2 linked regions of the Callithrix jacchus genome follow. The protein of the gene in region 2 interacts with the protein of the main gene of each other region in a biochemical or structural test. Links are inferred from orthologs where the notes say so. Each region holds a gene or a part of one and is shown on either strand. Other genes may lie near its edges.

Region 1 (4,241 bases), on a different chromosome or scaffold from region 2:
CCCCTAATTAGTAATTAGTAAAACCACTAATTATTAAAAACCTGCTAGACCCTCCATACATATTACTACATTTAACCTTCACCAAAAATAAGCGTTACTCACTCTATTTACAGATTGAATAGACTGTGGCTAAGCAAAATGGAATAGCTTGTTTCAGCGATTGAGTGATGGAACCAGACTTAAAATCCAGGTTCCTCTGACTCACGCACAGCCTGTCTCTGAGAGGCTCTGAGGAGTGATACCCCTTGACCCCCCCTCCTGGTATCCCCAGGCAGTTCACCTGTATTAGCTCCTTTGTACTTCTCCACAGCAACATGGAGTCGGTTTTACTATCCTAACCATGCAGAAGAAGAAACAGAGGGTCAGAGAGTTCCCTCCAAGAGGCGGCGGAGCCCCTACTGCTTGTTTTACATTTCTTAGTTTTGAAGCCAGGTTTGCCATCACACTCCTGGGCATCTGGTGGAAATATATGGCTTTAACAGACAGGTGAAGCCCTGGGAGCCTCCCATTCCCCAGACCAGCCTCAACCGAGTGCCTTGAGAGCCTAGTCAGGCTACCCCTCTCCTGGGTTCCTGGCTTTAGTGTTGGTGCAGAGGGAAGAGAGGGGATCAGTCGAGTTCATCTGTCATCCCAGGCCAAGGTGAGTTGAGTTGACAGGTGGTGGGGATGTGGTGGGTAGGCCTTGGTCAGTCCTTCCCCTGGCCCCCCCACTGCACCACCCACGAAGCTAAAATCTGCTGGCTCATGTTTCCTGTGTTGGGCAATGAAGTCCTGCCCAGGCACATGTTGCACTTAGCTGTGGGAAGTGTGTTATTGAGGAGGGTCTGTCCAGTATCTGCTCATTACGAAAAGGGATGTGAGGCTTGGATCCCAAGCAGAGATGAGAGACGACATCATGGCTTCCTCTAGACCCAGAAGCAGAACTTCCCGGGAGAAGTCATCTTGCCTTCTGGTTCCACTGCAGCCTATCAGCAAAGCTTGTCAGTTCTATCTCCAAAACAGGCCTTAAAGCTGCTGCCTGTCTCTGGCTTTCTCACTGCCCCCTGATGGAAGCTCCCACCATCTTCCCTTGAGACACCCCAGTAGCTTCCTTTCTTTGCCCTACAAGGCATTCTATATGCAGCATATAAAAGAATCTCCTTCAATCATAAACATGGTCTCAGCGCTTCCTCACCTAAGAAACTCAGGGCCAACTCCTGTGTTTCAGGTCGATGCTAACTTTGATTTGTGCTCTAACCCACAAGCGCTCCTGTGAACTGGCTCCACCTAGCCTTGACCTGGGTCATGTGGTACCCCCAGGCTCACTCTTCTTTTCCCAGTCTCTCAAATGCAGCAAGTTCTGTCTTATCCCTGGGCCTTTGGACACCTTCCCTCTCTACTGGAATCCTCCCCCGTGCTTTCTCACCATGGCCAGCTTCCGCATCAGCTGCAGGCCTCTGCTTAAATGCCACTTCTTTGCAACACCCCATCATGCCGGACCTTTTCCCCTTCCACAGCTATTCTCTGGATCAGTCCCTTGACTGTTTCTCTCTAAGCTCCTTCAATTACACATGTCCCCTTATATATGCATTTGTCATTGACATTTTTCATTCCGGCCTCTCTCTCCATGGGACCCTCGTCTGTGCTGCTCTCACCTTCAAGAGTTTGCAGTCATGAGAGATGCTCCATACACCTTTGTAGAATGAATGAATGAATGAATGAACTGACCCCTGTCTCCTTCTCTGTGATTCAGCGACATTGCACTGCAAGCTGGACACCGAGTAGTGGAAAAAGCCAGGCTGGCCACCCAGAGCTGAGCTCTCCCCACCCCAGGGCTCGCTTGCCAGGTGACCTTGAAAAACTCCCTCCCTGCCAGCTCTGGCTTCATTTTATTTCTTTATTAAAACCACTTGATGGAGACATGACTGCTCTTTAAAAAGTTGCACATATTGAATGTCTACAACTTGACAAGTTTGGAGGTGAGTCCACATCTGTTACTTATCACCACTGTCAACACCATGAACATGTCCGTCATCTCCAGGCATCTGCAGCCTGCATTCTTCACACTTCAGTTTCCTGATCTAGGAGTGAGGACACTGTCCCAAGGGAGGGGTTTCCCCTTACAATATTGTCTATCTGGCCCAAAGCCCTACTCTCAGAAAAACTAAACATTCTGCTTACTTTATTTCTACATTTTGTTCATTTAACAAACTGCCAAGTGGTTCCTGGCTCTCTTGAGCAGCTGCCTTGACCGGCCTGGGTGGCAGCCTCCAGGCAAGATGTCCTTATCTCAGGGAAGCAGATAATACTGGATGGTTGTTCTTGATTTCTTAAGGCCCAAGACCCCCCGCACAGAAAACAACGGAAGCTGCCATTTACTGAGCGCCTCCTGTCCAGCCAGCATTTTGTCCCCACGGTCTTATTCAAAAGGTCAACAGGGCCTTTCAAAACAGGTCTTGTTCAACAGGTCAAAAGGTCTCTCAACTTTGAGCCTGCTGACCTTTTGAACAGGATGCTGCTTGTGATCTTGTCCTGGGCATTGTGGGATCACAAGCAGCATCGCTGGCCTCTAGATGTCACTAACCCAGGCCCTCCCTCCAGTTGGGGCAACCAAACCTGTCTGCAGACATAGCCAGATACGCTGAGTGAGAGCACCCGCTGTATTTAACCTTCAGTCCCACCATGCGGAGGGTATAATTATTTCCATCTTACTATGAGGAAACGGAAGTTCTGCCAGAGTTAGTGTGGAGCATAAAGTCACAGAGCTTGGGGGATGCACTCACCTCTGCTGCCTTGGGAGCCCCTGCTTATTACCCGACACTGCAAAGGTGAGACTCCTCTAGAGCTTTGCAGCCTCCAAACCCCGTAACTCTAGAGTCCATCCTCTCCTGGCCTCACATGCCCTCAAGCCCACGGGACCTCCCGTTGTGGTATCTGTACTTACTGTATCCTGCGGCTGAGCGTGCACAGAGTGGAGGTGGCAGTCCCTCAGGCTCAGGAAAGGGCAGAGGGCTGGCTGGACTGCAGCCAGCATTTGTCACTGACCACAGCCGGCCCAGTCTCCACCCCTCCCTGGCCCCGCCCCTGCCAGCCTCTCCTTTCCTGCCAGGTTTCCAGCCAGCAGGCCTGCCTGCAGACACAGCTGTCTGATCCAGAGGCTTTGACCGCAATGCCCACTAGCTGCTCCCCAAGCCTTGTGCTGCCAGCCAGGCCACCATTTGCCTGGAATGACATGGGCAATCCTGAGAGACAAGATCAAAGAGGGTTCCCATTATTGGTATTCTAGAGACAGGGAAAGGGACAGCACTAGCTAACCCTCTCTCTTTCAAGGTTCGATTCCTTGGTTTTCTGCAGCTAATTTCCTGTAGATCAGGGGGAGCATGCACTTGAGCACGAGAGCTCCCCACAGGCCCGCTATGCTGACTGGGTCATAGATCCCAGCAGTCAGTTTTAGTGGAAATGGGAGGGATTGAGAGTCTCACCATACCAGCGATGACGGGTCACTGTAGCCAAGCCTGTGACTGCACCAACCCCTGAATTGGGGCTCAGAAGAATGAAGGGAATTTTCAGTCATGCCTCTAATTAGGGGCAGAGTGGGGTTGGTGATGACTCCACGGCCAGTGCTTTTTGCTTAGAAAGGAGCTGCATTCAGGATTTCTCTGGGCTTGGATGGATTCTCCCTTTCTACTTTGAAATCAGGATCCCTAACTCAGCCACATACTCTTAAGAGCATTTCCAAGACACCGGTGCAGGATGCTGGCTGAAGCCTGGTCACGTTTCCAAGGTCCCCATGCCTGGGGGACACAGTATGTTGTGTATGGTCATGATCATGGAAGGTTTTGTGACTGCAGGTGGGGTGTGGAGTTGATAGAGCAAGTCAGAGATAATACCCAGAAAGTGATCTTGATGTTCAGAAAACACAGTCTGTTGATAACCTTTAAGACATTTCTTCCTCCTTCTTCATGGTTTTGGGGCCCAATTACAGGGCTGTCAGATATCCACAGAAATAATAAGAACTAGTACCTATTCAAACTTTAAACAAAGACCACACATTATGCCAAGTGCTTTACACACATTATCTCTTTTCATCGTTACAACAATCCTTCCAGGGAGACACTGATCTCGGCCCCATCTAGTGAGGAACACATGGTATCTAGAGCCAAGTCCAACTGCTACGACCTCTCTAGAAGAAAGCACAGTCACTACCGGGTATCTAGAGGAAAACACAGTTGCGACTGGGTGTCGAGAGCCAGGCGTGACCA
Region 2 (4,489 bases):
CACATGATCTGTTTTTCTGGAGGCCAGTTTTATTTGAGAAATAATTATTACTATGTGAATAGAATAAACAAGGCTCTATGACAAAGTAAAACACTAAGTACAGATGCATTTAAACATGTGTAATTATTTTTTTGGAGTGGGCTATACAAGGATGTGTTTTTAACAATGTAAACAGTGTAAAACGACATGCAGTGAAAAAGAAATCTTCCTCTTATTTTGTCCTCCATTCTCCCAATTCCTCTACTCAGAGGTGAGAGCAGAACTTCCACACCCTCCAGAACCTCCACAGTTTACTGTCTACATGTTTCCATTGTCTTTACTTTTATTCTTGCCCACACAAATAAATGAACTGTTCATTATTAAAACTTCCCAGCCAGGCACAGTGGCTCACGCCTGCAATCCCAGCATTTTGGGAGGCCCAGGCAGGCGGATGACCTGAGGTTGGGAGTTCGAGACCAGCCTGACCAACATGGAGAAACCCCGTTTCTACTAACAATACAAAATGATCTGGGGACGGTGTCATGCACCTGTAATCCCAGCTACTCAAGAGGCTGAGGCAGGAGAACTGCTTAAACCCGGGAGAAGGAGGTTTCAGAGAGCCGAGATGGAGATCATGCCATTGCCCTCTGGCCTGGGCAACAAGAGCAAAACTCCACATCTCAAAACAAAACAAAACGAAAAAACAAAAACCACTTCCCAAAAGACCCAATAATACTTCAACAGGAAGCACCAACAGTTTATGCTCTAGGACTTTGTTCCCACAGTCCTGTAACATCGTACCATGACACTTAATCCAATTCTTATCAAGCCCTTACTGTCAAAAACTGTCTTTAAACGAAACTGCATATTTTCAGTAGAATCTGGCCTCGCGTTTCCTCCTTTGATAGCACCATCAGAAGGCCCTTACTGTGGAAAGCAATAAGCCCGGCTTTGTTCCATCCACTGGTTGTGTTGGTGATATCTGGGGACTGCCGCTGGACAGAGGCACAGAGGCAGCCCCTCTGGCCAGGGGTTTTCGTGTCTGTTTCTGGGAGAGTATGTCTCGTACATTTGTCGCGCTGATGAAGATTTCACAGCTCCATCAGCGCAGACAAGGGGGTCTGAAGCACTCTTAGGCAAGTTGGGGCCCAGCGGGGAGAGGTTGGAGAAGAACTGATTAGGGGACCCCAGGAGGCTTCAGAGCTAGGCGAGGGAGAGAGTCTCCCGTGGCCCTCTCTCCTCTCTGCAATTTGGGGACCCCTTGCACTGAGGCGGGCTCCGGGCCAGATGCAAGGGAGGAAGAACCGAGAATTCACGAGCCTCTCGATTCCTCAGTCCAGACTTTGTTGAGTCCTCTCCGCTGGAGACCGTGCTGCCTCCAGATCTTTGTGAGCGTTTCGGAAGCACGCGGGGTCCCCCAGGTCACTGCACGCTTCAGGGCGGGTGAGGGCTGGGAGGAGGACGAAAGCGGGCGGGGCGGGGCCAGGGCAGGCCCTGATATAGAGCAGGCGCCGCGAGCCGCGTAACAGCGCGGAGACCGCAGTCCCCGAGCCCGGCCCAGGGCCCACCTGTCCCCGCAGCACCGGCCCTCACCCTCCCGCCGCATCCACCGGTGAGTGCCGCGATCGCGAGAGCCCCGGGCCGGATGCGCGGCAGCCCCAGCTCCGGAGCCTGGCGGCTACATCGAGTCACCGCGCTCGGTCCTGGGCGTCTTCTGCGGGTGCGGGTCCTGGCTGCCCGGGAGCCCGGAGCCCAGAGGGAAGAGAGCCAGCCGGGGCTGGGGAGCCTGGTCACCGCGGGCACCTCCCCTGCATTGCAGTCGCCCGCCCGGCCAGCCTTCCTGCTCCTCCGCCTCTTGTCCTGACTTCTCCTTCCCTTGCAGAGCCGCCTTCTAGCGCCCCGATCTTGCCACCATGAGAACCCTGCTGGTGCGCCTGCTCCTCTGTGTCCTGATCGTGAGCGACTCCAAAGTGAGTGCTCCCTTCCTTTGACTGATGCTGCCTGGGGACATCTGATCAGCACGAGGGGAGAGGAGCTGGGGTCCTCCGGATTCCATCCACAGCAGGGCCAGGCTTTCCCCAGGAAATGGGACAGGGTGGCGGCGGAGGCTTGAGTACCACGGGGGTTCGCACTGGCAGGAAAGGGAGGAAGAGGCCGCTAGGACTGCCCCAGCCCGCAGGCACCTGGTAGATGAAGCTTAGTTGGTTCAATCCATTTTTCCTTGCTGGAAACCCATGATCTTCCATTTGAGAACTAGATATGAACAGGGTGAGGCGAGAGGGAGAGGGAAGGAAGAGTGGGTTTTGGGATTGGGGCTAGTTTATCCTCACCCTGGAGTCCCGGGAGTCCCGGGAGCATGGGACCTTTGGTGAAGCCTCCTCCCCAATCTCTTTCAGGGCCGCCGTGAACATCAAGTTCCATGTGAGTATCCACCCCTACAACAGATGGCTGCACAGACATCTTGGGAAAGCTTCGGGGGCATCCCCTCCCTGCCCCTGCTGCAAGGCTACCCCCACCCTTACCACCTCCACTCCCCCTCACTTACCCCACCTTCGTTCTCTCCAGCGAACTGTGACTGTCTAAACGGAGGAACATGTGTGTCCAGCAAGTACTTCTCTAACACTCGCTGGTGCAACTGCCCAAAGAAATTCGGAGGGCTGCACTGTGAGATAGGTATGGGGATCTCCACTGCAACTGGGAGGGAGGGGGTGCCAGAAATTTAGGGACATGGAGGAGTGGGTGGGAGGCAAGAGCAGGCAGGAGTTAGGAGCTGGAGATGGGGTGGATGACATCTTCATCTCTATGTGACAAGCATAAACACATATACTCATGAAGTAGTGGCTGCTCAAATGTAAGGTGGTGATGGAAGGAGACCCTGTCCAGGCTTTTGGCAGGTCTGAAACCACATCATCTTTAAAATGTCCATTGGCGGCTGGGCATGGTGGCTTATGCCTGTAATTCCAGCACTTTGGGAGACCAAGCTGGGTGGATCATTTGAGGTTAGGAGTTCAAGACCGGCCTGGTCAACATGGTGAAACCCTGTCTCTACTAAAAATGCAAAAATTAGCTGAGCGTAGTGAGAGACGCCTATAGTCCCAGCTACTTGGGAGGCTGAGGCAGGAGAATTGCTTGAATCCAGGAGGCAGAGGTTGCAGTGAGCCGAGATCGCGCCACTGCATTCCAGCCTGGGCGACAGAGCAAGACTCCATCTCAAAAAAGAGAAAAAAAGGAAAAAAAAAAATTGGAACTTCCTTCTCTTTTTCCATATTCTCTCATTTTCACTCATTCTCACATTCTCTTGTAGATAACTCAAAAACCTGCTATGAGGGGAATGGTCACTTTTACCGAGGAAAGGCCAAAACCGACATCATGGGCCGGTCCTGCCTGTCCTGGAACTCTGCTGCTGTTCTTCAGCAAACATACCATGCCCACAGATCTGATGCTCTTCAGCTGGGCCTGGGGAAACACAATTACTGCAGGTGAGGTGGGGGCCAGGAGGACCAAGAGCCCTCCCCACAGCTTCCCAGAAACCCTTGTTACCATCCCCTTCTCCCAGATAGCCAGCTGTAGCGAAAGAAGTGCAGCCTCTGGTTGAGTCTTCCCTGAGGGGAGGAGGCAGGGAAGGTCCTCTGGGTTGGAATGACATCCCCTTTCTCTCTGTGTTGCCAGGAACCCGGACAACCGGAGGCGACCCTGGTGCTACGTGCAGGTCGGCCTAAAGCAGCTTGTCCAAGAGTGCACGGTGCACAACTGCGCAGATGGTGAGTGTCACTACCTGCTGATGACAGTGGGGTGGAAGGGGACAAACTCACATGTCCCCTTATTCCATCACAGAAGGGCGAAGGAGGGGGTGCTGCCTGAGAGGGATGCCTACTCCTACCTGCCTCCCCAAGACATCCCTCTGTTTGTCCTCTAGGAAAAAAGCCCTCCTCTCCTCCAGCAGAATTAGAGTTTCAGTGTGGCCAGAAGCCTCTGACTCCCCGCTTTAAGATTATTGGCGGAGAATACACCACCATCGAGAACCAGCCCTGGTTTGCGGCCATCTACAGGCAGCACCGGGGGGGCTCTGTCACCTATCTGTGCGGAGGCAGCCTCATCAGCCCTTGCTGGGTGGTCAGCGCCACACACTGCTTCATGTATGGCTCTGGGTCTCCCCTCTCTGACTCTTCTGCCCCACCCCAAGCACAACCCTTTCTCCTTCCCAGCAAGGGGATCCCCCTCAATTCTCTCTCATCAGCCCCTTACCATGCAGCCCTTGACCTTGGGGACAAGTCTTGCTTTGAGGCCTCTAGGGAGGGAAGGAAGAAGCAGCAGGATTTCATGGGATGAGACTGTCTGACGATTTCTTCTCCCACAGTAATCACGCAGTGAAGGAGGACTTCATCGTCTACCTGGGTCGCTCAAGGCTTAACTCCAACACTCCAGGGGAGATGCGGTTTGATGTGGAAAACCTCATCCTACATGAGGGCTACAGTGCTGACACGCTTGCTCACCACAATGACATTGGTGA

The links.
Region 1: the proteins of PLAU (region 2) and plasma serine protease inhibitor form a complex in vitro, tested with the Homo sapiens proteins (2 studies listed by BioGRID). The link is inferred for Callithrix jacchus from reciprocal best matches to the Homo sapiens genes PLAU and SERPINA5.

Annotation. Positions count from the first base shown.
Region 1 is NC_133509.1:129,406,150-129,410,390, reverse strand, and holds the start of plasma serine protease inhibitor, read right to left. Parts: upstream 2,986-4,241; 5' UTR 2,763-2,985; exon of another isoform or gene 2,579-2,762; intron 1-2,578. UniProt on the Homo sapiens protein: Heparin-dependent serine protease inhibitor acting in body fluids and secretions. Inactivates serine proteases by binding irreversibly to their serine activation site. Involved in the regulation of intravascular and extravascular proteolytic activities.
Region 2 is NC_133513.1:56,295,416-56,299,904, reverse strand, and holds the start of PLAU (urokinase-type plasminogen activator), read left to right. Parts: upstream 1-1,503; 5' UTR 1,504-1,591; intron 1,592-1,861; 5' UTR 1,862-1,892; coding exon 1,893-1,949; intron 1,950-2,375; coding exon 2,376-2,400; intron 2,401-2,544; coding exon 2,545-2,652; intron 2,653-3,283; coding exon 3,284-3,458; intron 3,459-3,648; coding exon 3,649-3,740; intron 3,741-3,895; coding exon 3,896-4,115; intron 4,116-4,336; coding exon 4,337-4,485; intron 4,486-4,489. UniProt on the Homo sapiens protein: Specifically cleaves the zymogen plasminogen to form the active enzyme plasmin.